Alligator mississippiensis: one gene and its partners. The protein of the gene in region 1 binds, or shares a complex with, the protein of each later gene. Links are inferred from orthologs where the notes say so. Each region holds a gene or a part of one and is shown in the gene's direction. Other genes may lie near its edges. The genes, in order: ARID1B, ACTL6B, SMARCD3 and DPF1.

Region 1 (7,033 bases):
TTATTTTCTATGCATCTATTCACTATTACTTTTCATACTTTTGCTCCTTTTATTTTATAAAATTTGCTTTGGCCAAGCAGAAGGCTGTCTTACGGCTGTGAAAGGTATATGGTGTTCATACTGGACCACCTAAACAAAGATGGCCTAGGGATCTGCACAGGTGTCAGAATCAACAACAGTAAGTTTAGAAAATTGTAACGTTAATCTGGGAAACTGATCCTAGAGCAGAGTTCTAAATTTTATCAAAAAAAATCAACATTCAGTAGGAGTATATAGCAATGGTTTATGCAAAAGGAACCAGTACTGTATTAAATAACATACATTTTTAAGAAATAATAACATTGAAGAAATGATCAAAATTTAAATACAAAGTTGCAGTTGTACACTTGTAAGACTAAAAACTTGATCTAGTCATTTTGCAACAGATAATATGCATGGCAATTACAGCTTTCTACATTATATGCATTTATATTCATAATTCATACATATGGAGAGAGCTTTTGGAAAGGATCATTTGAATTTAACATACACTACCACTCATCATCTGAGCAAAGATAGCAAAAGGTATATTTCTACATTATTTGCGATCTAAAAAACTGAACCATAGTTGCTTTGTGTCGTGCTTCACTTGCACAGACTGCAGTGCCTTCTGTCTACTTTAGGGTGTGGCATCTGCCATTGGGGAGGAAAAACTGGCATGTGTTGCCTTTTATAACAGACTGATTTCATTGTGCTGAGGGCCTCTATTTTATAGCCTTTTAGTTCCAATCTTGTAGCTGACTTGCTGAAATAAATGGAAGGACACATTTTAGTATAAACTTTTCAGTGCTGAAGAGTCCTCACTTTTTTTCCAGGGAAAATATTTTAAAAGTAAATCTGTGTTAAACTTTGTGGCTTATTTTCCTGTTCAGAACTAGTTACCAAGTAAGTCAGAAAGTATTGTAATCCTCAAGTGAGCTACCTTCAGTACATCTTATCACATTTTTATATATACCCGTATACACACATACACACTTTTACATTAATGTCTAAAAGCATAAATGTGTAATTGATTTTGTATTTGATTTTAGAACACACACATAAATAAATAGACACAAGTAGACCTCTATATTTATATTTGCATATGAAAGACTTCAAAAATCAACTTATGTGGTTTAATGTGTATAATTAGTGTGTGTTTGAATATGGAAAAGAAGAAAATCCAGGAGAAAATGTCAAAAAGGCTCACTAACAAAGATGTAGTATTCTCTTGGCAAAAGCTGATGAATGATTTGGCATGAATTCATCTTACAGTTCTGTTATTCTCTTTTCTACAAAGATGATATACCCTCTTTCTCGCAGTTTGCATAGAATTGCAATTTGTTGTTGTTGCAGGCTGTAATGACCCTTGGGTATGCACCTGATTCCCCCCACTAGAATTACTCACCAATTTTTTCCACACTCTCGTTTTCTGCTAACCGTATAACATTTCTACACTTGCAGTACCAAAAGAAAAAAAAAAAAGCAAGGTTGGATGTAGCTGAAATACAAGTGTTATCAACACATAGTTGACAAATTCTGAGACTTGCAAACTAACTTCATAATGGAAGTCCTAATATTTTCTGATTTTGCTGCACAGCAGTTAAGAAGTCAATAAACACCGGACATGCGTTGTTCATACATGTTTCAATAATCTTTGAGTGTAAGTCAACATTATATCATGAAGCTTCTGTTTTTCAATGTTTTCACAATGGACACAATATGCCTTCCTATTCATAACACTGTCTTCCAGAAAATACAGCTGTTTAAAACATTGTGATAAAATATTTATGCCAAGTAATGAATTTAAATCTTGACAAAATAACATTAATATCCTATTTTGCTGATGTCCGGAAAAAGCTAGTTGATTTTCCCCCTCATTTTACCAGTTAAATCTTGCATATGACTGTTACCTTTATGTATATCAAGTTATTACGTGAATCAAAGCAGTTATTTAAAAGAACTAACCACCAGCACTTGCCGAAAGGGCTACTATATAAATGAAAGTCATTATTATTAATGTAACAGTTTAATGCTGAGTAAATGTTGCTTTGCTCACACACTGTACTTTATATTACTACATTTCCACTAACATCTAGCCTATCCTGGAATAATGTTTGTGGATGTGATTGTAACACTGAAAATGTTTTACTCTCTTTAAGTCCTCTTGATCTGCATAGAAATACAAAGGATGTGTTGAAAACAGCCCCAAACCTAACAGTTACATTAAAGACATAATTAGTTCAAACAATCCCTAGGATTTTGAGCCAGCCGGACACTAGAGACAAGTGCGAAAATGCCCGTCGCTGAATTTCACATTGTATTTTACAAACCTCTGCACACCAAAGACATTGTTGTAAAATCGTATTTTATTTTTTCATCAAATCATCACAGCCAGTACACTGCATTCCTCTTAAGAATAGCAGGAGAAAGCTTTTGAACACTGCAAGGTGGACTCAGAAACAGGTTAGAGGTTTGGCAAATTTCACTAGGTTTTTGTTTTTCTTCTTAACCCAAAAGTATGCAGCACCCACAAGGTGTTTGGGTTGTTCTCTTGCCCCACTTTAGCTCCCAGACTACATTTGACCAGGACCCAAAACATACTTAGGAGGAGAGCTAAATTCCTTCCTGATGGAAGTGCTTTCTATTCTAGCTGAGTTTTATCTGTGCTGGATTTGACCCACGGCTGCCTAGTTCTTGGCTTTTGGATTTAGAGGAACTGGAGCATCAGTTTCATACACGATTAGGCTCTGTACAAAAGATGAGGGAATGAACTGGACCAAGTGAGTTTTCTCCCCACCCTCTCTCTGACACTAGGGTCACCCCTCTAGCTCTGTATCTCTCTAACACTAGGGCAGTGGTTTCCAACTTGTGGTCTGCGGAGCCCCGGGAGCCTAAGGGGTCTGTAAAAGACGACTACCATCAATTAAAAGTATTAAGAATACCTGCACACTTACAATTCAAAGGAGTCCGCATCTCCATTCAAAACTTCCAAAGGGGTCCGTGCCTCCATTTGAAATTTTTTATCAGTCTGCAAATGAAATAAAGGTTGCAAACCTCCGCAGTAGGGTAACCTCTCTCTCTCACGCTAGGGTCACCTCTTTCTCTCCCTAACACTAAGGTTACTTTTCTCTCTCTCACACTAGGGTCACCTATCTCGCTCTCTAGAACTAGGGCCACCTCTCTCTTTCTATAACACTAGGGTTACCTTGCTCTCTCTCATTATCTCTAACACTTGGGTCACCCCTCTTTCTAACACTGGGGTCACTGCTCTCTCTCTAGCACTAGGGCCACCTCTCTCTTTTTCTCTCTATAACACTATGGTCCACCTTTCTCTCTCTCCAAAACTAGGGTCACCTCCAGTGCTGTAGCAAGGGATTGGTTGAGTGGGGTGGCCACCCCAGGCACCAAAGTGACAGGGATGCCAACAGGCCCTGCCTAACTGGGCCGGGGGTGGGACAGAGCCACAAACAGCTCATGGCGGGGAGGGGGGGCATGGGGACACGGGGAGGGCAGCTCTTGCTGCTGCATTCGCTCCTCGGCAAGTATGAGGGGACATGTGCTTCCTGGATCTGTGCATGAGACAAGGGCGGGCTGCTGCTGTGGGCTTTGCCCCACGTGCCAAACTTCTTTGCCAGGGCCCTGGTCACCTCTCTCTGTTATGCTGCGGTTACCCCTCTCTCTCTCTCTCACTCTAACACTAGGGTTCCTGCTCCCTCTCTGTCTCCCTCTCTCTAACACTGGGGTCCTTGCCAGGCAAAAAAAGAAAAAGAAAAAGAAAAAGAAAAGCGGGGAGCCCAACCTTCCCCAGAAAGGTGCGGGACTCCCGAGGTAGCCTCCTCTCCTCTCCTGCCCTCCCCGCGCGCGGCGGCGGCGGCTGCGGAGCAGGAGGGAGGGAAAGTCCAGTCCGCGTTTTCCAGGCGCGCGGCGGCAGGCCGAGAGAAGTGGATAATAGTTGTCGGAGCTCGCTCTCTCTCTCTCTCGCTCGCTCTCCCATGCCATGCTGGGCCGGAGCGGCTCAGTCAGACGTGTATTTCCCCATATCCGGGTGAGGGAGGAAAAGGCAAGAAAAAAAAGTTTCATTTAAAACCCGAACCAACAAAAAAAAAGGAAAAAAAATCCCCCCCCCTTGAAAAAAAAAAAGAAAGAAAGAAACCCACCACCACCCCCGCTTGCTTCCAGCAGCAGCAGCGAGGGAGGCAGCCGGAGCAGGCACGGACCCACGGCCGCCCCGGACACGCGGGGAGGGGAGCTGCGGTAAATTTCGCGTGTGCGGCGGCGGGCGTGTGCGGGTCCCCTCCCCGGAGCCCGTCTCTTTCCTCTGCTGCGTTTTTTAATTCTTCTTCTTCTTCTTCTTCTCTGTTTTGTGCGGCTCCCCCCCCCACCCCTCCTCCTCCTCCTCCTCCCCGGGCCTCGCAATGTTGCCATGATCATGGCCGCGCAAGTGGCAGCGGCTCCGGCGGGGGCGAACAACAGCAAGGGCAAAGCGCCGGGCTTGCCGGGCAGCCTGAGCCAGGAGCGCGGCGCGGCGGCGGGCGGCGGCGGGGGCTCCATGCTGGGCGCCGGGGACGGCGGCGGCCTGGGCAGCGTCCTGCAGCACCGCGCCGAGCTGGGCACGGCCAACAACGCGGACAAGGACGGCGGCGGCGCGGCCCCGATGGACGCGGGGCTGCTCCCCAACCACAAGCTGAAGGGCGGCGAGGCGCTGCACCCGCACCATGCCCTGCACCATGCCCACCACCACCACCACCACCACCTCGGCGCCTTCCCGCCGCAACAGCAACAGCAGCCGCCGCCGCCGCCGCAGCAGCAGGCGGCGGCTCCGCACCATGCCATGCAGAAGAGCGGCGCTGCGCAGCCCAGTGCAGACATGGAGCAGCAACATGGAGGCAAGGACGGCGCGGGGGGCGCCCAGGCCGAGCCGCCGCCGCCCCTGCTGAGCAAAGGCGGCCCGGAGGAGGAGGAGGAGGAGGAGGAGGAGAAGCTGGGCGAGCCGCGCTACGAGCACCCGGCGCTGGGCGCGCAGCAGCAGCAGCAGCCAGCGCCGCCGCCGCAGCAGCCAGCGCCAGCGCCGCCGCCTCCCCCCGGCGCGGGCAGCGGCTTGGGCGCCGACTTCAGCGCCTACTTCGGCCCCGGCGCGGCCCCGGGCAGCGGCGGCGGCGGCAGCAGCTCCGCCGCCGCCGGCCGCGCCGGGCCTTGCTTTGATCAACATGGCGGACAACAAAGCCCCGGGATGGGGCTGATGCACCCCGCGGCGGCCCCCAGCGGCATGGACCCCCTGCACAACTCCCATGAGGGCTTCGCCAACAGCCAGTACAACCACTACCCCGGCTACGGCCGGACCGGCGGCGCGGCGGCAGCAGCGGCGGCGGCGGGCGCGGGAGGAGCCAGCGGCGCGTATGCGGGCTCGTACGGGGTGCTGAGCTCGCCCCGGCAGCAGGGCGGCGGCGTGATGCTGGGCCCCGGCGCGGCGGGCGGCCTGGGCAAGGCGGCGGCGGCGGGCGGCGGCTTCCAGCGCTTCTCCAGCCAGAGCCCGCACCCGTCCGGGGCCACGCCGACGCTCAACCAGCTGCTCACGTCCCCCAGCCCCATGATGAGGAGCTACGGCAGCGGCTACGCCGAGTACAGCAGCCCCGGCGCCCCGCCGCCCCAGCCCCAGCCGCAGGCGCAGGCGGCCGCCGCGGCCCCCGGCAGCCAGCAGGCAGCGGCGGGCATGGGCCTGGCCAAGGACATGGGCTCGCAGTACGGGGCGGCCAGCCCGGCCTGGGCAGCGGCGCAACAAAGGAGTCACCCGGCCATGAGCCCGGGCAGCACCGCGCAGCCCCTCAGCAGGACCCAGGTAACCGCAGGGTGAGGGCCAGGGGTGCCCTCCCCTCCCCTCCCCTCACGCGTGTGGGCGGGCGGGCGGGTGGCAGGAGCCCCGATTTCTTTGCCGGGTTGGTTGCTTGTTGCTCAACTCTATGGCAAGGGGGTGTCCCCATGCCCGCCTCTGGCTAGGCCGGGGAGCCTCTGGGGTGGGCTGGATGTAGGCCGTGGGCTGTGTCGCTTTTTTTTCCAGCTTATTTGTGCCTCCCCTCAAGCCCCCAAGCCTTTGCCGTCTGTTTTGAGCCAGGGATTGCAGGGCCCCAGTCCCAAAGTGGGGTGGGGAGGGTGGGAGAAGGGATGCAGAGGGAAGGTGCTGCTTTTCTGACCACTCCAGCAGCGCCTGGGAGCGGATATTGATCAGTCTCCATCAGGATTTTTTTTTTTAAATTTGTCTCTTTCTCCCCCCCCCAACCCTCCAGAGCAAAGAGCTCTGTCCTGCCTTTTTACCCAGATGAGTTCATTGTTGGGAAGGCGCTCCAAACACTGCCAGGTTCCTTCTGGCGGCTCGAAACGTGCGTGCCGTAGTGGCGAAGGGTCCCCTGATCCGCCCCGAGATCCGTCCTAGACCTCGCTGGTGCGCGCGTGTCTGCTCCCCGAGACAAGAATAACCCGTTGGTAGAAGTGCGGGGGGTGTTTGGAGCAAGCCGTGCCCGTCCAGGCATGCATGGTCCCCAATTAGAGCAGCAGAGTCCTTCCTTTGTAGAAACAGGCCTAGCCCCTGAAAGCCCTGCTTGTTTGGACGAATGCAGGCGACTGATTAGCTAAATCCAATATATTACTAAATCAATAGATAGCAAATGATTGTTGGATGCTCTGTATAGCTGGCTATTTTTTTTTTGTCCTCCTCCAAAGTCAAGGGCTTGATTAGAAAGGGCTTTGCGCTCTTGGTGTTTCTTGCTAGCAGTCTGAACCTAAAGAGTGACTTGATCTCCTTTGCAAGGTTTGGAATTTGAATTGTGGAGGTAAACTGGCTGTAATAGTCTCCAGACAGCTGCCTCTGAGTTGACATCTAATCTGCCATCTGATTGGCTCCTCTCTCACCATTGGGCATTTAGCACTGCTGATGTAAATAGAAGTGCTGAGCAATACAGTCACAAAAATTCTTGCCACAAATAATAACTGAGCAGTAGCGCTCACAGATGCAAGGTTA
Region 2 (7,228 bases), on another chromosome or scaffold:
AAATTTCCCGGCCTCTCTGTCTAATTCCTGCCGACTTTTACGTAGTTCTAAGGCACCACATTGTGCGTGGTGGGCGGGCCCTGGCTGTCTGGCTAACGAGGGCCCGGATGGGGAGGCAGCCGCCGGGAGTCGGTAGCGCCGAAAGCACCGGGATTGGCACCGGAAAAAAGAAAATAATGGAAAAAAAAACGGCTATTTTTGGTCTCTCCGCAGGCGGGCAGCTTAATTGGCTTCTCTCCTTTCTGGCTGGGAACCGGGTGGAGGAGGACGTGGGGGGGGGGGGAAAAGAAGGGTGAGTTATAATTAACATCCACAATGGAACGGAGACGGACTCGTTAAGAGAAAAAAGTCAAAAGCTAACAAAGGGAGAAGAATTTAAAGGGAAAAATGCAAGAATTGGGGTTTCAGGTATAGATTGGAGTTTGTGGTTTGTTTGGTTTTTTTAAGGAGGGGGCTGTCAGCTTGCAGGACGCCTGGGTTCTCAGGGTGTAACAGGGCCCCCCTCGGAGCAATGGGAGATGCAGCTTGTTCTGGGGAGGGGCGTGGATAGGTGGAACAGGCTTGGATGCACCCAGCTCTGGGAGAACCAGGCTGGGTAGAACAGGACAGGATATGCATAGCTCGGGGGGTGGGGAGGGTGTCAGGCTGGGTGTAACAGGCCCAGGTACGCCCAGAGGGGCATGGATGGGTAGAGCAGGCCTGGATGCGCCCAGCTCTGGGAGGCCAGGCTGGGTGGAACAGGACGCGGGTGCTATAATGTGGCTACCTCGGAGTTGGGGTTTACACTGAGATCTATACTGGGACCAGTCTGGAGACAGTCCCCAGGGCCTGTCTGTTACTGGGGAGACTGGGCGGTGGGGCTGCGAGAGTAGAAGGAACCCAGGAGTCCGGCATGGAAGGAGCCAAAGAACACAGCAGGGGCCGGGCTGTACATTGGGGAAGGGGAGCACTGGCCCCACCCCCAATCTCCTGCCCTTAATTGGGACCAGTTTCACCCCGCTGCTGGTTCCCAGGTCCCATACCGAACCCTGGGGGGGATGGGGGTGAAGAGAATAGAGCTGTGGGTGGTCTGCACCATTCCTCATTCTTCAGGGGTGGGGCAGCTGTGTGGGGGCACACACACATGATTCTTCATCTTTGAGAGAAATGAGATGTACCATTGCTCATCCTGATGAGAAATGGGACATACCATTCTTCATCCTCAGCAGAAATAAAACGTGCCATTCCTCAGATCTCTGAGAAATAGGACACAGCACTGCTTGTTCCTGGGGAAGGGAGGAATGGGAAATACCATTTCTGATGAGGGGGGGACATGACAGGATGTACAGTAACTCCCCACTCTTGGTGGGGGGGAGAATGGGGCATACCATTCTCCACTCTTGGGGGGGGAATGACATGCCACTCCTTATTCTTAGGGGGTGAATAGGATGCACCATTCCTCATTCGGGGCGGGGGGGGCGGGCGGACGGGATGGGACATGCCATTCCTCATTCTTGTACGAGGATAAGAAAAAAACCATTCCTGATACTTGTGGGGGACCAAGACGTACTATTCCTCACTATGGTATGGAAGGAAACACACCACTTCTCACTCCTACATGGGGACCGGGACTCCAGGGGGGGCGGGACGTACCATTCCTCATCCTTGTGGGCCAGGAAGAAGTCCTGCATCTGCTGGCGCCGGAAATCCAGCTTGTAATCATTGTAGCGCTTCACAGCCTCCGTCTCATCCACCGAGTCGTCCAGGGACAGCAGGAACTCCTTGAAGCTCTTCATCACAGGTGGCGCCATGCCCAGGTCCACCTCCGCGATGTTCCCCAGCCTAGTGGGGGGGGCAGAGATGTCGGGGTAGAAGCTGAGGACAGGGCAGATGGGAGTTGGGAGGTTAGAGGACAAAGGGCACACACTTACCTTGCCTGGATAGGCAAGATGTGATGCTGCATGACATGCATGTCAGGGTGTGCCCAGGGCTGGGGGGGGCCGTAGGCTGGCCCGGCGCCCCCCCCGCTGTAGGGCATCTCGTAGCCGCTGTGGTAGGGGTCCCCGCTGTGCTCATCCCTGCAGGGAGAAACAGGGGTGTCAGAAGCGGTCAACCCATGGGGGGGGGCGTGGGGAGGGATGAGGGGGTTGGACTCACCAGTCCCGGCGCATGCGCTTCTGTGGGGGGCTGAGCTCATGGCGGGGCGGGGAGAAGCGCTCCCGCCGGTTCCGGTCATAGTCTCGGTACTCGCCCCGGCTGCGGCGCTCCCGCCCACGGTCCCAATCCCTGCCAGATTAGGGGAAGGAATTAAAGGCACGGGGGCAACATCTCCCTCTGCTGTCCCCACATACCCCCTCCCCAGGGCTGGGTGCATCCAGGCTTGTTCTACCTAGCCTGGCCCTCTCCCTCTCCCTGAGCCAGCTGCACTTTAACCCCGCTTGCTATACCTCCCTGCTCTTCCCACCCTAGAGCTGGCTACATCCCTGGTGCTGTTACACCTGGCTGTGCTCTACCCCAGAGCTGGGCGCATCCCGGCCCTGTCACCCCCCCCAGCCGGGCGTCCCGGCCTGGCCCCCACCGGTCGTTCCAGTCATCGCGCCGCCGGTCGTCGCGCTCCCGCGAGCGGTCGTAATCGCTGCGCTCACGCCGGAACTTGTCGCGGCGCCGCCGGTCGTACTCATCGTCGCTGTCTCCCATCGCTAATGCCTGGGGAAGGGAGATATCAGCGGCTGCTCCGGGGGTCCAGTCCCCCATCACCCCAAGCAACTGTTGCCATGGATACCCCAGACCCCTCCCACACCCTTCGTTGCCATGGCGACCCCCACACCCCCTAAAGCCCCCACCCGCTAAGGCGCCCCCCTCCCGTTGCTATGGCAAGCCCACCCCCGTTTCCATGGAAACCCCTCCCCAGAAGCCCAGCGCCCCCCCGCACCTCAGGGGTTGAGGGGGGCCTGGGGTGACACTGGCTCCGCTCGGCGCGAGGCGACCGCAGCGCGCGCGGCGGAAGCGGAAACGGGGCCGCGCCGGAAGCGCGTAGAGGTGGTGGCAGGGGGCGGGGGACGCTCTAACCACGCGCCTCTCCGGGCCGCGGCCCTAGCTGGCGTGGAGGACTCGCTGGGGACTCTCTAGCCCCAGCCTCTGGTGCGGAGGACTGACTAGGTCTCAGCCCTCTCTAACGTAGAGGACTCGCTAGGGGCCGGTCTAGGAGGTGGGACTCTATGGTTCGGAAGACTGTCTACCTCCCGCCTCTATGGTGCAGAGGACTCACTCAGGTCCAGCCTTCTATGGCGTGGAGGACTCGCTCGAGGGCGCCCAGCACAACTGAGGGTGGGGGGAGGGCTCGGAGAGACCAAGTCACTGGATCTGGGGGGAGGAGGTGGGTGATACCAAGTCTCGGTGTAGGGGGAGTTGAAGAGACCAATTCCCTATAGCGGGAGAAGGGGTGGGTGATACCAACTCTGACTGCGGTGGGAGGAGATGGGAGAGACCAATACAGTAGCTATGGAGGGAACAGGTAGAGGGGTGGGTGATACCAACTGTCTCAATGGCGGGGGAGGTGGGAGTGGGAGAGACCACTTCACAGGGTGTAGGGGTGGGTGATATCAACTCTCTTGGTGCTGAGGGGCGGAGTGGGAGGGAACAACTCACTGGGCATGGGGGGATAGGTGATACCAAGTGGGGTGGAATGAGAAACACCAAACCCAAGATAAGGGGGGGAGGGTGATACCAACTCTCTGTTCGGGGAGGGGGGGAGAACGGGAGAGGCCAACACATTCCTAGCGGGGGTGGTGGTGGGAGGGGACTAGGATGGACCAGACTAACTAGGTGGGGGAACGTGGGAGAAACCAACTGCTTTCATGAGAGGGGAAGCAGGGCGATACCAAATCACGCCCCACCACACCCAGCCTGAGAAAGAAATAACCCCCCCAGCACAGCTGTGGTGCAGTCCAGGCTAAGGCACCCCTTCACCTCACCACCCCTAGCCCCGCCTCCCCCGTGCTGTGATTTGCATAATTAGCCGCGCCTCCATCCCATACCCTAGCCCTGCCCCGTTCCAGCCTGCATCCCATGCACGTGCTCCCGGGAGCTCGGGGAGAACCCAGTCGTCCGCCCCAGCTCAAAAAAAATCTCCCGCCTGCCCCTTTAAGAAGCAGCTCAATTGTCACTCATTGTCTGCCCGGCCAGCCAATCGGGAGCTGCGCCGGGAGGGGACGGCCCTGGGATTGGCTGCGGCCGCTCTTCCTCCCCCGCCCCCCCGGACGCTGTCCGTCGCCGCGGTGCTGAACCAGCCGCGCCGCTGGGACCTGCTGCCGAGCCAGGATGAGCGGAGGCGTCTATGGGGGAGGTGCGGGGGGGGCACCCGTCCGGGCCCCATAGAGAATGCAGGGACCCGGGACCCCCCGCGAGAGACAACCCAGGGGCCCGGGACCCCCTATCGAGAACCGAGGCATTCTGTCATTCTACCCAGTCCGGCCCCCCCCCCCCCCCCCCAGGCACAGCTGCATGGGGAGGGGTCTCACGTGCTGTCTTCTCCCCAGATGAAGTCGGGGCACTGGTCTTTGACATCGGCTCCTTCTCGGTCCGAGCCGGCTATGCAGGCGAGGACTGCCCCAAGGTACGCGAGTCCTGGATCAGGGCCTCTGGGCTGTGGGGTGGGGAGTAGGTTTGAAGGTGAAGCCCCCTCCCCATCCCGGGTTGGGCCCTCTGAGGGATGTTGCATGCTCTGCATCTAGCATGGGGCCAGGATCCGGGCTTGGGGGTCAGGATCGGAACTGGGGGGCTGGGGTGGGGTCTATGGGGCTGGGATCTGGGATCAGAGGCTGGGATGGGGCTGGGGTCCAGGATTGGGGATTGGGGTTCATGATTGGGCCCAGGGGCTGGGAGTGGGAAATGGGGGCCAGGCTCGGGGATCAGATCGGGGATTGGAGCCAGGATCAGGGCTGGGGCACTGTGCTGACCCCCGCCCCAGGCGGACTTCCCCACCAGCGTGGGGCTGCAGTCGCACGAGGAGGCAGTGCTGGAGCTGGACGGCGACAAGGACAAGAAGGGTGGCAAGGCCTACTACATCGACACCAATGCACTGCATGTGCCCCGCGAGGCTGCCGAGGTCCTCTCCCCTCTCAAGAACGGCATGGGTGAGCCCTGGCCCTGTCCCCAGGCCGCCAGGCCCCACCCCCATAGGTGGCTGCCCTGGGCAGGAGCCAGGCTATGCCCTCCTAGGCCCAGGTCACACCCCCTTGGCTCTGGTCACACCCGTACCTAGCCCTGCCTCCCTACAGGACTGGCCACACCCCCTTGGGTCTAGCCATGGCTAAACCCAGCCACACCCCCTTGGCTCTGGCCACACCTGTACACCCCACCCCCACAACCCATGCCCCACCCCCTAGGCTCTGACCATGCCCAAACCAGCCCTGCCCCCTACAGAACAAGCCACGCCCCTGGCTCTGACCACACCCCCTACATCCTAGGCCATGCCCCCACCCATAATAGCAGGGGGGCAGAGGCCCCACCCCCACCCCTACCCTGTGGCCACACTCCCTGACACCCGGTGCTGCACCTTGTGGTGCAGGGGGCAGGGCCAGTCAGCTGACCCTGCTCCCTGCCCCCCAGTGGAGGACTGGGAGTGCTTCCAGGCCATCCTGGACCACACCTACAGCAAGCACATCAAGTCGGAGCCTGGCCTGCACCCGGTGCTCATGTCCGAGGCGCCGGTACGTGCCCATCGTCGCAGCAACTGCCCCCGGCAACTGCTCCATGTCCTCCCCATGGCAACTGTGTGTTCCCCCTCCCCCCATCCAGAAACCACCACCCCATCTTCCCCATGGCAACAGCATGTGCCCCCGGCTACCACTGTCCCCATCTGTGTGTGCCCATGGCAACCAGGCCCTGCGTGTCCCATAGCAACTGGGCCCCTATCTTCATAGCGACCAGGCCCTGCATGTACCATAGCAACTGGGCTCCCATCTCCAAGTAACTGGACCCCCCCCCACCTGTTCCATAGCAACTGGAATCTGGGCTCCATAGGAACCCGACCCCCTGCCTGTCCCATAGCAAACACAGCTCCCATCTCCACAACAATAGGGGCTCTGATCCCCATAGCAACAAGGGTGTGCATCTCCATAGCACCCAGACCCCCTACATGTCCCATAGCAACAATATCCCTCTCTCCATAGTAACTCGGCCACTTGCCTATCCTGTAGCAACAGGATCCCATCTCCATAGCAATCGGACACCCCTGCATGTCCTATAGCAACCAGGCCCTGCATGCCCCATGGCAACCAGGTCACCCCCCCATCCCCATGGCAACTAGACCCCCCCCATTGCCCTAGCAAGCGGCCCATGTCCCCGTAGTGGAACACGCGGGCCAAGCGGGAGAAGCTGACGGAGCTGATGTTCGAGCACTACAACATCCCGGCTTTCTTCCTCTGCAAGACCGCTGTACTCACCGCGTATCCAACCCCCTGGAGACCACCACCCCCAGACTCTCTCTTCTTCCTCTGCAAGACCGTCGTGCTCACTGCATATCCCCCCCACCCCTGGGACACCCCCTGGGACCCCTCATAGCCCCCCAGAACCCCTGCCATGCTCACCTTGTATCCCCCTGGGATTCACCCAGACCACCCCCTGGGATACCCCCAAACCCTTGGGACCCTACCTTCCTCTGTACGACCACCATCCTCACTGCATATCCCTCAATGTCCCCCCTGCTGTGCTCCCCAAGTATGTCTCCCCAGACCCTCCTGGTCACAACATACTCTATGGAGGAAGGGAGTGGAACACCAGGACACCTGGGTTCCAGTCCAGGACCTCCCCTCCAGGGGCCCCAGCCCCACCCCCGCACCATGAGCTCAGCATGTATCCCAGACAGCCTCCCCCCATGCCCCCCTGGGCCCAGCAGAGAACACAAGCATCCAGGTCCACTCCTGCCCAGGGCAGGCAGAGAACCCAGGTGTCCAAGCCTTGACTCAGGGGTCAGCTTTGCCAATGGGCGCAGCACGGGGCTGGTGCTGGACAGTGGCGCCACCCATACCACCGCCATCCCGGTGCACGACGGCTACATCCTGCAGCAGGGTGAGATCCCCCACCTGGACACCTGGGTTCCCCAGGGGGCACAGAGGAGGCAGCCTGGATGTCTGGGTCCCCTCTGGGAGCCAGAGGGAGAGGTCCCCAGATGCCTGGGTCCATTCCCTGTGCTTTGAGAAGGGCGAACTCTGAGGGGGGGAGGGGCGGGGACATGGCTTCACATCTC
Region 3 (8,016 bases), on another chromosome or scaffold:
GCCCTGGGCTCTGACTTTGCAGAGGCAGCGGTGGGGGGGAGAGTGCCCCCACATGCCCTGGGGGTGTGATCTGGACCTGCTGGCAGGGGCAGGTCCTTTGCTCGCTCACCTGCTCCTCCGTGATGGTCAGCATTGCAAGACCTTCCTCTCTTACTTGTTGCACAGATGGTTTTGTTTTCCATGTTGGAGATGGATTGAGAAGCAGCAGGAAGATGGGGCGTGCACGGAGGTAGAGCAGTAAGTTACCAGTGTGGTGATTGTGGGCGCAGCCACGTAAGTAGGTAAGAAAGCCCAGAGAGGAGGCCACAGAAAGAGCGACGTTGCAGCTGGCAGTGACCCCTATATGCATATCGGGGGCCTGACGCTTACAGTATAGAATAAGGTTGTGACCTCCTAGTGACTAGCTAATGGGATGAAGTTCAGTGCTGCCAAAAGCAAGGTGTGGCACTTGTGGGAGGCTAATCAAAAATGCAGCTACAAATTGGGTGACACCCAGCTGGATGGGAGAATTCGGGGAGAGGTCTGGGAGTCCCCATGGATCGGGCTCCACAGGAGTTGGCAGCATGATGCAGCCGCACAAAAGGTGAGTGCGGTTTTGGGCTGCATCAGGTGCAAGACATGGGATGGGAGCATGCCTCTCTGCGTGGCACTGGTTAGGCCTCACCGAAATAACTGTGTTGCTTTCGGCTCCGTGTTTTAAAAAAGGATGCAGAGAACTTGGAGAGGATTCGGAGATGGGTGCCTTCTTCGGCGGCGCTGGCTGTTGCTGCAGCAGGCTGAGGGCTGCGCAGCTGCTGTGCCAGCGCTCCTGCTGGGACTGAAACCCACAGGTTCCTGGCTGGACGCTCTTGCCCCGGCCCCGGGTCCTGCCTGGGATCTCTCCAGCGTATATTAACAAGCTGTGTAGCAGCAGGACGTCGGTTGCCCTGATGCCCCTGCGTTCCCCGCCACAGGGTCAGGTGCGGTGCCCAGTGCCGCACCAGGGTTGACTGCAGGCTGCCCGAGAGGCTGCACAGCGGATTTGTCTGGGATGGTTTGGGCAAAGGCTGGACTAGACGCGACCTCTGGAGGCCCCTTGCAGCCCCACGAGAGCACGCGTTCGCAGCCGGTCTCTGAAACGTGGTGTGCCGGGGGAAAGGCCTGGTCTTCCTCCTGTGGAAATCCCCCTGGCTTTTGCTAAACAAAACGAAGGAGGGAGTCCTGGCTCTTGGTCAGGAGCCCCAGCAGCTTCAGCCACCTCTTGTAAGTGTCTCAAGCGCCAAGCACCGGGCGAAGGCGGCTGTGACCACGTCAGTCCCTGCCCAGCCCTTCTCCCCGCACCGTTCTGGTTAGGGATCGCGGCACCTGGAGCGCGCGCTCGCTCTGCCAGACGGCGCTGGGCGTGCTGGCGCCGGGCCCAGGAGACGAGCCCGTTCTGCGCCGGCAGGCTGAGGAGCAGGAGCGCGGGGCAGGCCGGCAGCAGGGCCGGGTGAGGGGCTGCTGCGGAGGCTCGCTGCCCGCCAAGGCCCGGTGGCCTTGCCTCTGGTGGCACACCGGCAGGCACTGGTCAGGCCTCGCCCCCGGGCAGGCGTTAGGGCAGCACTTCCACGGGGCGGCTGCGGGGCCGGGTGTCGGGGCGGTGCTCGCCGCGCCGTGGATGCTGGCGAGGCGGCTGCGGGGCCTGGCATTAGGGCGGTGGTTGCCGTGCGATGGATGCTGGTGAGGGGCGGTGATTGCTGTGTGGTGGACACAGGTGAGGGGTGGCTGTGGGGCCCGGCGTTAGGGCGGTGCTCGCCACACGGTGGATGTGGCTGAGGGGTGGTCACAGGGCCGGGTGTCGGGGCGGTGGTTGCCGCGTGGTGGACGGTGGCTGGAGGGCGCTGAGCAAAGGGCGGCTGAGAGGCCAGGTGCGGGGGCGGTGGTTGCGGTGCGCTGGACGTGGACGTGGACGTGGGCGCGGGGCGGCTGCGGGGCCTGGCGTCAGGGTGGCGTTTGCCACAGGGTGGATGCGGGCGCGGGGCGGTGGTCGCGGTGCGGACGTGGAGCGCGGGGCGGGGTGCGAGGGTGGTCGTGGTGTGGTGGCTGGGGGGCCGGGGCGCTCCCGGCCTCGCTCGGGCCCAGAGCCGCGGCGGGGCCGGGACCCCGCACCGGCACCCCCCGAGGCGGGCGGGCGCTCCCCCGCGGCCGGGCCGGGCCGGGCTCCGGGCGCGAGGGGGTTAAGGCGCCCGCCCCGCCCCTCCCCCCGCTCCCGCAGCCGGGCCGCGCCGCGCCGCGCCGCGGGCTGACCTTCACGGCCCCGCGCATGCGCCCCGCGGCTCCCGGCCCGGCTCGGCTCGGCTCGGTTCGGCGCGGCCCGGCAGCTGCGAGCGCCACGGGGCGGGCCCGGGCGGGCGGGCGGGGCGGGAGCGGGGCGCGGGGCCGCTGCCATTCGGCGCTTCGGTGGCTGGAGCCGACGTGGGGCGCCGAGAGGGGGGCTCCGCGGGCCCCGCGCAGCGCCCGGCCCGGCCCGGCCGTGCCCGCCAGGCCTGGGCGTGCCCCTGCGGTGTCCTGCGTGTGTCTGCACAGGACCCCGTGTGTCTGTGTGCGTGCAAAACCCTGCTTGTTCATGCAAGTGTGCACGGGATCCCACCTACTGTCGCACGTGCACGCGTGTGAGACGCCACGTGCCGACGCGTACCTGCGCTCCTGCCTGTTGGTGGGCGTGTGAGACCCGGCGCACACGTGCGCGCCTGGTGTGCGGCCCTGCACGCGTGCCCCACCCCGGCGCATGGGGGACGCAGGCCGTCCAGCCTGTTTGTGGCGAGCCCCCGCGCCGCGGCAGGGGCCGGCCGCGCCATCAGGGCCTGGAGCCGGCCGCGGCCCCGTGCCCTCCCGCTGCCCCGGGCGGCCTGGCCGGGCTGGGCTAGCGCTCCCTCCAGAACGGCGTCTCGGCACGTGCAGGCAGGGCCGGCCCGCTCTGCGGGCGCAGCAGCTTGCGCCCCCCCCCCGTGGAGGGATCCAGGGAGACGGCCCCAGCATCCTCTTGCCGCGGAGGCGGGAGCGTCCCAGCCGTGGGCGCGGTGCCCGGCCACGAGGAGCGGGACGAAGGCAGGGAGGGCGCATCCTGCGTCGGAGGATGCTTCTGTTGCAGAGACGTGGGCCTGGTGCTGCCCACCAAACAGGGACCCGGAGCCGGGGTTCAGCAGGACGGCGGCCTGCCACGCGCTGCCCAGCGCCCCTGTCCCCCCGGCTCCTGGAATCCCCCCAGGGAGCCCCACGCAAGTGCCGGGGTTGAGCTGCCTGGTCCCCATGCCTCGGGGTGGGAGCTGCGGCGCGGCGCGCTTGCAGCTCGTCCAGGGTCTCCTCCACGTGGTTCTGGCTGCAGCAGTTGGGTCAGCGACCGCGAGAGATCGGTCGCTTCCCGGCTCCTGGACAGGAATTGCGAGCAGGAGGGAAGGATAAACCCTCCTGTAACCTGGCAACGTGTCTCTTGCTGTGGCAGCAAACCCTGGCAGGCTGCGGGCGCATGCGGAGCTGTCAGCGAGCAGATTGCTGCCCCAGGCCACGGCTGCGGTGATGGAGGAGCCAGTGCAGCGGAGCGCAGAATGGCGGCCGCTCCAGCAGCCCGGCAGCACCCGCACCTTTCCCGCCGGCTTGGGCGCTGGGAGCAGGCGAAGGCTGTGAAACCCATCTTCCCTCCTCTTCTGCTGCCCCATCCCTCCCTTCTCCCCTTCCCTGGGCGTGGCGGGGCGCGCCGCATCCCTGGGGACAACGTGCTTTGTCGTGCACGTGAGGCTTTGTGTTGCACGCTGCTGCCGCTCACGCGGGGCAGCATGTACAGCGTTAATGATTTGTCTGTGTGCATCCATCCATCACGGGGGTCTGTGACAGGGCTGGGACAGTGGGCCGCGAGCATCTCGAGGGCAGGGCGCCTAGCCGGGGAGGCGATCGGGATGCTGCGGGCAGGCAGGCGGGGAAGCCAGCCACACATTGTGCCCTGCCGTCGCCATGCTGCGCTGCCTCCTTGGCGCACGCTCCCCCTCCGCCTGCCTCCCTCTCCTCACACTCTTTCCTTCCCCTCGCTTGCGCGCTGCCCTTCCTTTCCCCGGATTTCTGTCTCCTGCTGGTGCCGCGCTTGTCCGGAGGGGCTTGTTCTTAGCCTTCTGTGCTGGAAATCCTGCCAGTGAATGTTTCTGTGCTGCCTGCCACGTCCCTGGGGAGAAGGCCTGGGAATGCAGTGCTGGAGGAGACCAAGACAGCTATTGTTCCCCACGGCTGCCGGGTGCTTTCTTTAGCTGGCAGAGCCTCCCTGCGAGCTGCTCCATGTCCTTGCCGGAGCTCCCCCTGCACCCCAGGGCCCAGGATCCTGTGGCGCTGGAGAGGAGAGGCTGCAGTGCTGCTGCTGGAAGGCTCAGACGTGTTTTCAGTTTGCCTCCCGCTTATCTCTGCTGTTTGGACAGAGAGGTTTAAAAGGCTGGATTTTCTGTCCCTGCAGAGTAAACACACAGACCCGGGCAGCACAAACTATTTCTGGCTTATCAGTTGAGGAATGCAGCAGCTGAGGATTAGCGGGAGTGGGCCGTCAGGAAGGCCCTGAAGGGGCCCCCTCCCCACTCCGCTCTATTAGAAGTGTGAGAGCCCAGCAGGACTCAGAGGGGAGAGTTGGAGAAAAAGGCAGAAAAGGGAAAGAAAGAGGCAGAGGGAGAGGAGAGAGGCTGAGCCGACCCGATGGCCACGGATGAAGTTGCCGGCGGGGCTCGCAAAGCCACGAAAAGCAAACTTTTTGAGTTTCTGGTCCACGGGGTGGTGAGTCGGGAAAGTTAGAGAGCTGGCTGGTGCTGAACAGAGGGATGAGCGAGCCAGGCGCCAGGGCTGGGCTGGGAGCAGCCCTGCCGTGTGCCCTGGGTGCTGGCTGGCGGTCCACGCCGCGTGGCAGGAGCAGGGGATGGGCCCAGCTCCGTGGGCAGGCGTTGGGGTGAGGTGTGCAGCGGTCATTGCTTCTGACGCTGTGGGAATGGGGGGGCGGGTTTGCTTCCAGACCGGTTCCGGGGCAGGGGCCAGAGCGGATCCGACCCCTGCGGTCTCGCAGGGCGCCTGGTTCTGCAGTTCAGCTCCTGCTGCGTGCAGGGATGCTGGGAAAGCCCTGTGCCGCGGGGCGCGGGACTTGTCTGTGGACTTGGCTCTCGTGTGTCCCCTGGCTACCTAACAGGTGACTTCCAGGGGCTCCAGGAGACTAGCTGTGCGCTCGTTGCTGGGGAGCCTCAAGCTGCCATACTTTGGGCACCCTCAACATCCTTGTAGCCTTCCTGTGGCCATTGGAGGCCTCCTGACATTCAAGGGATTGCCATTCGTGAGGGCATGCCTTCCTCCGCCTTGTGTGTCCCTCCGGGGCTCCCAGCAGTGACGGAGAACAATTGCAGCTTGTGACATTGGGGTTTCTTAAGGAGACGTCAGTGTAACAGAAGGCGCAGTGCTGGGGAGTCTGAGGAGCGCGAAGGCTGAGTGGCTGTCAGAGCTTGCGTGCACTTTCTCTTGAGGACCTGGGATCTGCTTGCAGTGGCACCCTCTTCCAAGCCGTCACAGAGGGCTCTGCGTTAGAGTCCAGCAGCCCACGGTGCTGCCCCTTTGGCGGCCTGGCTCTTGCCCTCGGTTTGCTTGCCTGGAGCGTGACGTCTTTGACAAACCCCCGAGATGGGGCGATCCGGACCTGCCAGCCTAGGGCAGTGTGAGCAGCATGCCGTTTATATGAGAACAGCATCCTAGTGACCGCGGCACTGGGGACCCGCAGGATTAGTGACTGGCAAATGAGCACTGGTTGTGAGCAGTGCCCTTGGTCGTACAGCTCGAGTCTGGGGGCAGGCCAGCCTGTGGGGTAGCACGCCTGCCAACGGGCAGGCCTGTGCAGCAGACTGTGAACGGGGGGTGACCTAAGGGTAGAGCTGAATGCATGGGGCAGTCTGCTGGCTGGCACATGCGGACGGCCTGTGGGGCAGTGCAGCACGGGGTGGGCATGTGAGGCGGCCTGGGAGTCGGGAGCACGTGGGTGGCCTTTTAAAGGGTCAAGTGTTCTCTTGGCAATGACAGGCCAACGCACTCCCTTCAGTACCGGGGACAATGGCTGAAGCGGTGGTGAAGAGACCCCCTCTCACCTGTGGGTGGGTGAGGGGTGTCAGGGTCAGTCATAGATTCATAGATGCTGGGGTCGGAAGGGACCTCAACAGATCATGGAGTCCAACCCCCTGCCTAGGCAGGAAAGAGTGCTGGGGTCAGATGAGAGTCAGGCTGAAGTCAGGCTTTCTGATGCAGAACTGGGCCTCTCCAGCGCTGGAACTGCCTGAGGATGTTGACAGTAGTGGATGACCAAAAACTGGCTTCCGCTGTGTGCTTGGCCTTCCAAAGAGCCTTTGCTGTAGTTTGTCGCCATGCAGGCGGCATTGGAGACTGGCTGCCTCGTCCGCGAGGGGATTGCAGGCTCCAGCATCGCTCCGCGCATGTGGCTGCAGTCAGGCAGATGTCTGGGGCGGAGGTCGCTGGTGCCGGTGTGGCACAGCTCTCCTCAGAGCAGCCCACTGCTCCTTAGCAAGGCCCCGCAGGCCTGCCCCAGCAGCTTCTCCTCCCACTCCCTGGGCAGTGGAGCCCTGGCATTATGTTGTGTGTTTTCCTTTTACTGCTGCACTGACCCTGATCTACTCTTTTAGTTCCTTCACCTCCGTTCTTGCCTCCTTCCTTGTCCTTCTCTGGACGTGGGCACAGCCAAGTCTCCTCCACCAGAAGGAGAGTCTCTCCTGACCTCACCTGTCTCGCCAGCCTGCGCTCCTTCATCTCTGCTCTGGCCCCTGTGCTCCTCCATCTCCGCCTCCAAAACGACTGAAGGAGCCGTCACAGCTGCTGCCTGCGCTCTCATTTCTCTAGCCACTCGGCCTCAGGCTGCAATGGGTCATGCAGTTTCCGTGTAAAAGCGAAGGCAGCAGCAGAGTCTCTGATAGTGTCCATGAGGCTGTAGCTCTTGATATGGGGGCAGAAGTGCTTGAGGTGATAACTGATGAGTTTTCTGTCAGGGAGGGGCGCCAGTGTCCTCAGCAGTGTTGTTGCCAGTGGTGGAAAGGATTTTGGAGAGAAGACTCTTGCCACATTTCCTGGGGACTGAGACTGGACTTCCCGAATCCCTGTCGGCACACACTTTGTCACCAGCTCTTGTGTCATCGTTCTGGGCTCTGCCCCTCTCCTCCATCTCTGGTCCTGACCCTCTCTTTGCTCTACCCCAGTGATCCTCAGCTGGGCGGTACAAGACCCTATCAAGGGTCATGCACATTATGAGTCCTGTTAGGTGTCCAGACACTTACACATGATTCATAAGATAAACCCAGAGATTTCAAACAGGAATCCCCAGCATCACAAACTTTCAGACCTGCTGTGGTCCCTCTTGCTTTCTTGTCACAGAAGAATTGCTCTTATTTTTCCATGGTCGAGAAATGAGTGACAATGAAGAGGTGGCATTTTCTGCGGGGGCCTGGAGCCTCACAAGGTGTGTCTTGAGTCTGGAAAGGTTGAGAACCTCTGCATTATCCAGACTGGTCTCGTGATGGGCAAGATCTTGAAGCCTGTGCTGTAGCCTCATTCTCCTTAACTCCATGATGGCCTTTGCTGCTGACAACCACACCTTCCTGAAATCGCTTTCTTGGCACTCCTGTCCTTTTATGGTCCCTGCCTACCTCAAGCCTGCTTTAACAGGTCCTCCTCAGCCTGTCTTGGTGGACACCTCTGAAGGCCCTATCTCTGGCCTGTCCTTTTCCCCTCTCTGCACCCTGTTTGCAGTGCTCTGATCCAAAACCCTGCCGGTAACCATCTTTATGCTGATATACCAGTCTGCTGGTCAGCTTTCTCCCTTCCTTTAACCAGTAGCACATTCTCACTTGCCTTTTCTGGCATCTGTTCTGGGTGTCCAGCCATCAAGTAAGCTCAGCTTGAATAAAACAGAGGTATTAATCTCCTACAAACCATCACCTTTCTACCTGGTGCTGCCCCGGCCGGTCGCGTGGACCTCCTCTTTGGTCTCTT
Region 4 (7,017 bases), on another chromosome or scaffold:
CCCCACCATGTTTGGAGCTGGGAGTATTTGGGGGGTAAGGAGGGTCCTGGGGGGCTTGGGGCCATGGTAGGGGGTCATGTGGGGGGCAGGGAGGAGCACTTCTTGGGGGACAGGGAGAGGGGTCCTCACCTGCAGCCCCCCTGTTCTAGAGGTTGTGGAGAGGGCTGGGAGCACTTGGGGGATGGGTAGCCTGGGGCTGTGGTGGGGGTACGTGTAGGGGGCTTTTGGGTGGGGCTGGGTCTCCCGGGGGGTGGGGGGTGGATCTTGGGGGTGGCAGCAGTGGGTACCTTGGTCTGGGTCTCAGGAAAGGTCTGATCCCCATTGCCCCCCAGCAGAGGCTGCGGCCGCCCCGGCCGCCCCCGCCGTCACCGCTGCCGCCGCCTCGTCAGCACCCCCCGTCCCCGTGCAGCCAGGCGGCGGGTCACCGTCAGCAGGCGCCGGAGCAGGCATGGCGGAGCCGGGGGCACCAGCGGGCGCGGAGGGTGGGGGCCGGCCGCAGGCCATCCCACGGCGCCACGCGCCCCTGGAGCAGCTGGTTCGCCAGGGCTCCTTCCGCGGCTTCCCTGCGCTCAGCCAGCGCAACTCGCCCTTCAAGCGCCAGCTCTCGCTGCGCCTCAACGACCTGCCCTCCACGCTGCAGCGCCGCGGTCTGTACCGCCAGCCCGGGCCTGGTGAGCCACCGCCGCGGGAGGGGGGCTGCAGGGGGGTCAGATCGGGGTTCATTCCCACCTTGTCTCTGCGCCCTAGTGCTGGAGATGGAGCCCACGCCCCCCGGCGACGCCGACGGCATCACCGCACTTTGCAGCCAAATCGACGCCTCGCTCGGCGCTACTGCTCCCCCCGGTGCCACCGCCCCCAGTCCGCCCCTGCCTGCTGCCCCAGGTACTGCCCCGCCCACTCAGGGCTCAGCAGAGGTGGCCATGCCTCTTCCTATGGCCACGCCCCTAGGCAGCAGCAGCATGTCTAGCTATGGCCACACCCCCTGATGGCAGCTGTGCTCCAGCTGTGGTCACGCCTTCAGTAAAGCCACACCCCTGCTCTCAACTATGATCCCTATATGGCCACACCCCATTATGGGCGCCCCCCTCCCCCCCCCCCAACAGTATGGGCACACCTACTGCTTGCAACTACACTCCCTATGTGCCCACACCCGTAAACTGGCCACACTCCCTCTTGGCCCCACCCCCAGATATGACCACACCCCCTATTGGCCATGCCCCCAGGTGTGGCCACGCCCCCAGACATGACTACAACTCTAGTGACCACACCCCTATTTGCCCTCCTGTATGGCCACGCCCCTACTGTGGTCACGCCCCCACCCCCAGGTCCCCCATCCACCGCCGAGCTGCCCTGACCCTTGTCTCCTTCCCTGCAGCCACCTGGGGAGTGCCGGCGCCGGCCCCAGACCCCGTGGCGCCCGCACCCCCCGTCGCGCCGGGACACCGGCGCACACCATCGGAGGCCGAGCGGTGGCTGGAGGAGGTGGCCACGGCCGCCAAGGCCACACAGCCGCCGCCTCCCCTGCCTGCACCTGCCATGGTGGCCCTGCCCGTGGCGCTGCCCGTGGCCCCGCTGCCCCCCTACGCCCTGGGCTATGAGGCAGCACCCACGGCCCTGAGCTTCTTTGCTGCCCCCCCTAGCTTCATGCCCCTGGGTGCCTGTCCCCCCCCTGGCCTGCCCTACGCCGCCCCCCACGTGCCCCTGGTCGGCCTCACCCCCTCCCAGATGGTGGCCAACGTCTTCTGCTCTGCTGCCCGCTCCGGCCCCCCCCCCAAGCCCAAGCCGGCGGCCGCCCCCTGGCCCCCCGAGACAGCTGCGCAGCCCCCCGTGCCCCCCGCGACCGACCCCTTCGAGGCACAGTGGGCGGCACTGGAGACCAAGCCCCCCGCGCCCCCCAACCCCTTCGCTGGCGACAGGCCGAAGACCTTCGAGATCGAGCTGTGAGCCGGGGGGCGCCCTTGCTGAGCCCCTGGACCCGAGATGAGGGTCCTGGTTTGCCAGGGGGAGGCTAAAAGGGGTATGAACCCCCCCTCCTGTGGCCCATGTGGGTTAACGGGGGTGCAGGACCCCCCCAAAGTTCCCTGTGAAGCCCCCCAGGCCCGGCCTGCACCTAGGGGTGCCTTAATCCCCCTCCCCATCTCATGGGGGGGGCATCTGTAAGCAGGGGTGCTGGGAACAGCAGGAGACCCCCCCACACACACTTTATACTGGGGGGGTCTAGAGGGTCTCTTCTCCCCCCCCACCCCCAATTTTATGTCTGTTCTTTTTAACTTAAAATCCAGATTTTTGTATTTTTGTCTAATCCCCCCCAGGTCTTCCCGCAGCCCCCTGGGGTTTGGGGGGAGCAACATGTGTTAACCCTTTGTGTTCCAGCCCCCAGCCCAGCTGGTGGGGTCCAGGCCTAGCCAACCCCCCCCCCCACCCCATTCTCCAGGTTGGGGGAGGGTCATGCAGTGGGTGGGGTCCTCTACTTTATTCCCCCACCCCAATGGCCCCAGGGCATTGTGGGGCAGGCTGGGGAAGCCCCGGCCCAGCTGGTGGGACGGGGCTGGCCCCCCCCCACTCTGGGGCCGCGTGCGGGTTTGTATCATAGAGCTGCCAATAAACAAGAGTCCTAGAAGAGCCGCCTGGAGCCCTGTTTGTGGGGGGGCGGGGGGGGCATTCTCATGGCTTTGGCTTGATCATGCCCTGTTGGTCACTTCCTGTCCCAAATACGCCCCCCCCCCACCCAGGCAGCTGCCACATGGGGAAGAGGGCAGGGCCTGGGGAGGCACAAACGTCCCCCAGCTCCAGGGCCAGAAGGCCAAGCCTGACCTCTGACCCCGGGGCAGGGAAGGGCCTGCAGTGGCTGCAGGTGTCGTCCCTGGGTGGCCCAGTGGCTCACCATGTTGGGGGGGGGGGGGACAGTCGGGGCCTCGCCCTTTGACTCCTGGGGGGGGTTGCTTTTGCCCGGGGGGGGGCCCAGCCTGCTCCCAGGGGATTGTGGGGGGGGAGGGGGGAGAAATATATTTTTATGGCCTTTTTTGCTCGCTTTCGGAAATGGATCCCTCGCGGTTGCCATGGGAACCGGCAGGGAGGGATGCTCCAGAGCTCTTAAAGGCACCGCGCTGCCCGGGGTGGGGCCAGGCTGGGGGGGGGGGGGCAGGGAGGGTTGAGTGGGGGTCAGGGCAAGAAGCTTTGGGGAGGGGGTTAGAGGCGGGGGGCAGCTCTGGGCTCCCTGTGCAGCTGGGAGAAGGGGGGGCAGGGTCTGCCATGGTGCCATGCCTCAGTTTCCCCAGCTGTAGAAGGGGTCGGGCAGGGGCCCAGTTGCCTGGGGGGGGCGGGTGGAGCGGGAGCCCAGATACCTGGGTTGTCCCCCAGGTCCCAGGGGGGAGGGGAGTCTGCGGGGTTAGAAATGGGGCAGGGGGGCTGGGGTCTCGTCGGGCCCAGGCCTCCTCGGGGGCTCGGCTGGCCGAGAGCAAGGGGCCGGGCAGCACCCGAGGGGCCCGATCCTGGGTGGGGGTCTAGGTGGCACCTGGCATAAGCGGGGGCCCCGATCCTGGGTGGGGGGTCTAGGCAGTGCCAGGCGCATGCGGGGGCCCCGATCCTGGCAGCGCCTGGCACAATGGCCCCGATTCTGGCTGCGGCGCCTGGCACAAGTGGGGTAACCCCGAGCCTGCTGGTGCCTGGCATGGGGGCCCCGATCTGGGGTGGGGGTCCGGGCAGCGCTTGGCACCACTCTGCGGGGCCCGATCCTGGATCCCTGCATCCACTAGTCCTCATTCCCTCCAACCCCCCCAAGGGAAACTGAGGCACAGGGAGAGGGCAGCCACAACCCCCCCCCCCCCAGCAGCTCTCACCTGCACCTGCCCTCACCCCCCCCTGCTGACAGACACCCCCGCTCGCCTCTGCCAGCCAATCTGTGTCCTCCTGGGGGGCGGGCCTTGCAGCTGTCAAACGCAAGGCATGCTGGGACTTGTAGTCCTCCCACCCACCCTAGTAGCCCCCCCTTCTCCCCCCCCACCCACTGCGGTGATGTGCAAAGCTGGGGAGGGGGGGCCTGGATGGAGGGGGCTGGGGGGGACGGACTGCATCCCCCAGCATGCACTGGGGCGGGGGGGGCCGCCCCCTCCCCCCCACCCCCCCGCTGCGGGCTGGGAATGAATGAAATCGCCCCGGATTCCGATGCGAGAAGTGAAAAACCCACCGTGCAAAATGGCCACGGCGGTGCACAAGCCGCTGGAGGGGTGAGAGCCGGGGGCTGCGGGGCGGCAGCCAGAGCGCCGCAGGCCTGAGCCGGGGCGGCAGTGGGGGGCACCGGCGGGGATGGGGGTCGGGAGCGAGGGGCACCGGTGGGGCTGGGTGGGAGAGGAGGGGAGGGGAGGGGGGGCTGCAGGGCGGGAGTGAGGGGCACTGCCAGGGCTGGGGGTCGGGAGCGAGGCGCACCGGCGGGGCTGGGGGTCGGGGGCGCGGGGCTGGGGCAGGAGGGAGGGGGCTGCCGGTCGGGAGCGAGGGGCACCGTCTTGCCACCTGGCTGCACCCCAGATGCGGCCCCAAGCGGGGTGTCGCTGGGCGGGGGGGGGGGGCCGGCAGGGCCTAAATCCTGTTCCCTGCGCTGCCTGGGTGGGGGCACCCTCGGGCCAGGGTCGTGCCCCCCCAGCCGGGCAGGGCCCTGGGGTCACCTGGGGGCAGCACCTGGTCCTGATGAGGAAGGTGGGGGGGGTGACTGGGTCAGAGGGGTGCAGAGGTGGGGAGAGAGCCCAGCGTCCGCACCCCCGGGCCCCCCCGCAGACCCCACCCCCACCAGCGCTGGGGGGAGCCCAAGCGTCCGCGCCCCCGGCCCCTGCGCCAACCCCCGGCCCAGACACCCCGGGTGTCCGGCTTGGAAGGGAACTGGGGGCAGGGGGGGCAATCGGGGCAGGTGCTGGCCTGGGTCCTCTCCCTGCCCAGAGCCAGATGTGCGTGGGGCAGGGGTTGGGCATGGGCACCCTTGTGTACAGCAGGGCAAGGGTTAATCAGGGGGTCAGCCTGGGACCACCCCCCCCCCCCGTCAGGAGCCTAGGGGTCACCCGGGGTCATCTGAGCTGCTGCCCAACCTCCCATGGTGCCCCTCACCCCCCCCCTTGGCTGCTCAGTGCTGCCCCCTGGCACAGGTGCCAGAGCCGACCCCTCGGCAGCTCCCGCGAAAGGTCACGGGTCATCCCATGGTGGCCTTGCAGTCAGAGGCCTTGGCGCTATTTGGGGGGGGGGCACGGCTCATCCCGGGAGGGTCCGTGCTCGCTGCTGGGTCCAGGCCCCCCCGGGTGGAGCCAGCGCAGGGTCCCCAAGGCTGCTTGGAGTCACGGTGGTGGGAGGGGTGGGGGGCAGGGGCAGAGCAGGGGGGGTCAGGGCAGGTGGGAGGGGCGCAACGGGGGCCTGGCAGGGGTCTGACCCCCCCCCCCGACCCCCCCGCACAGCCTGGGCGAGGACTTCTACCGCGAGGCCATCGAGCACTGTCGCAGCTACAACGCGCGGCTCTGCGCCGAGCGCAGCATGCGCCTGCCCTTCCTCGACTCGCAGACCGGCGTCGCCCAGAGCAACTGCTACATCTGGATGGAGAAGACCCACCGTGGCCCCGGTGAGACCCCCACCCCGCCCCCGTCCCACCACCCCCTCCCGCCGGTGCCCCTCGCTCCCGGCCCGCAGCCCCCTGCCCCCCTAGCCCTGCTAAGCTGGGGGGGCGAGGCTGGCTCGGATGGGTTGTGGGGGGCGGGGGGGGGGGGGTCTCCAGGCTCATGCTACCCCCCGCCAGGCCTGGCCCCGGGGCAGATCTATACCTACCCGGCGCGCTGCTGGCGCAAGAAGCGGCGACTGAACATCCTGGAGGACCCGCGACTGCGGCCGTGTGAGTTCAAGATCGGTAAGGACCGCGGTGGGGGGCGGCTGGGGGATAGGGCCGGGGTCCGGCCGGATCTGACGTGCCCCCCCCCCCCCCCAACCGCCCCCCAGACTGCGAGGCGCCCCTGAAGAAGGAGGGGGGGCTGCCCGAGGGGCCGGTGCTGGAGGCGCTGCTCTGCGCCGAGACGGGCGACAAGAAGACGGAGCTGAAGGAGGAGGAGATGGTGCTGGACTGTCAGGTGAGACCCCCCCCCCCCAACCGCCCGGCCCCCCCCACGGGGACCCCTGCCCCAGGCAGGTGCCCTAGAGCGACCCCCTCCCCCATTGCAGAAGCCCCCGATGGGCGAGTTCCCGCACGACCTGGAGGGCGACGAGCTGGACGACGACCTCCCGCGGAGGAAGAACAAGGCCAAGGGCAAGGTCGGGGGGGGGTCCCTGCCGCCCCCAGGGCCTGGGACGGCGGGTTGGGGTCCGGCCTGGCGTGCGAAAAGAGGGAGGCGGGGGAGTCTCCCCGGAAATTTGTGACCTCCCTCCTTCTCCCTGCGCCCCCCCCCCCCCACCCCCACCAGGCGTACGGGATCGGGGGCATGCGCAAGAGGCAGGATGCGGCCACGCTGGAGGACCGGGACAAGCCCTACGTCTGCGACAGTGAGTGTGCGACGTGGGTGTCCAGGCGGGGCGGGGGGCTCAGCCCCTCTGCCCCAGCTACGAGCCGCAGGGGACCCAGGTGTCCGGACAAGGGGGCAGACGGGGGCCCCCAACCTCCAGCTCCTGCTCTTGGGGGACCCCAGGTGTCTGGGGGGGGGAGGAGGGGGCTGGGTCTACAGCCCCCTCCCAACCCTAGGCTCGGGGGACCCATGGGTCCAGGCAGGGCAGGGGGTTGGGGCTACAGGCCCCCCCAGCTCTAGTCTCAGGGGAGCTAGGGGTCTGGGGCAAAGGGCGGGAGCTGGAGGGGTCCCCCAGCTGCTGGCCATAGATCGGGGGTGGGGGGCAGTCGTGGTCTCAGGGCCCCCACAGGTCCCAGTTGCGGGGGAGCGAGCCCAGGCGTCCGGGCGGGGGCTCTGACCGTGTGTCCGCCCCCCCAGTCTGCGGGAAGCGCTACAAGAACCGCCCGGGGCTGAGCTACCACTACACGCACACGCACCTGGCCGAGGAGGAGGG

What was found.
Region 2: ARID1B (region 1) and ACTL6B share a complex: the UniProt entries of both Homo sapiens proteins name them as parts of the neuron-specific chromatin remodeling complex. The link is inferred for Alligator mississippiensis from reciprocal best matches to the Homo sapiens genes ARID1B and ACTL6B.
Region 3: ARID1B (region 1) and SMARCD3 share a complex: the UniProt entries of both Homo sapiens proteins name them as parts of the neuron-specific chromatin remodeling complex. The link is inferred for Alligator mississippiensis from reciprocal best matches to the Homo sapiens genes ARID1B and SMARCD3.
Region 4: ARID1B (region 1) and DPF1 share a complex: the UniProt entries of both Homo sapiens proteins name them as parts of the neuron-specific chromatin remodeling complex. The link is inferred for Alligator mississippiensis from reciprocal best matches to the Homo sapiens genes ARID1B and DPF1.

What each region holds. Positions count from the first base shown.
Region 1 is NC_081824.1:135,152,969-135,160,001, forward strand, and holds the start of ARID1B (AT-rich interactive domain-containing protein 1B), read left to right. Parts: upstream 1-4,022; 5' UTR 4,023-4,444; coding exon 4,445-5,857; intron 5,858-7,033. UniProt on the Homo sapiens protein: Involved in transcriptional activation and repression of select genes by chromatin remodeling (alteration of DNA-nucleosome topology).
Region 2 is NC_081838.1:23,998,618-24,005,845, forward strand, and holds the start of ACTL6B (actin-like protein 6B), read left to right. Parts: upstream 1-4,217; 5' UTR 4,218-4,299; coding exon 4,300-4,324; intron 4,325-4,517; coding exon 4,518-4,594; intron 4,595-4,948; coding exon 4,949-5,114; intron 5,115-5,589; coding exon 5,590-5,690; intron 5,691-6,330; coding exon 6,331-6,428; intron 6,429-6,955; coding exon 6,956-7,050; intron 7,051-7,228. Other genes in the region: SRRT (serrate RNA effector molecule homolog), read right to left, coding at 1,633-1,821, 1,911-2,057, 2,137-2,265, 2,558-2,676. UniProt on the Homo sapiens protein: Involved in transcriptional activation and repression of select genes by chromatin remodeling (alteration of DNA-nucleosome topology).
Region 3 is NC_081828.1:220,569,171-220,577,186, forward strand, and holds the start of SMARCD3 (SWI/SNF-related matrix-associated actin-dependent regulator of chromatin subfamily D member 3), read left to right. Parts: upstream 1-5,005; 5' UTR 5,006-8,016. UniProt on the Homo sapiens protein: Involved in transcriptional activation and repression of select genes by chromatin remodeling (alteration of DNA-nucleosome topology).
Region 4 is NC_081838.1:2,408,825-2,415,841, forward strand, and holds the start of DPF1 (zinc finger protein neuro-d4), read left to right. Parts: upstream 1-4,004; 5' UTR 4,005-4,043; coding exon of another isoform or gene 4,044-4,143; coding exon 4,144-4,226; intron 4,227-5,435; coding exon 5,436-5,596; intron 5,597-5,770; coding exon 5,771-5,878; intron 5,879-5,967; coding exon 5,968-6,095; intron 6,096-6,186; coding exon 6,187-6,276; intron 6,277-6,425; coding exon 6,426-6,504; intron 6,505-6,941; coding exon 6,942-7,017. Other genes in the region: NUMBL (numb-like protein), read left to right, coding at 333-671, 748-882, 1,376-1,944. UniProt on the Homo sapiens protein: May have an important role in developing neurons by participating in regulation of cell survival, possibly as a neurospecific transcription factor. Belongs to the neuron-specific chromatin remodeling complex (nBAF complex).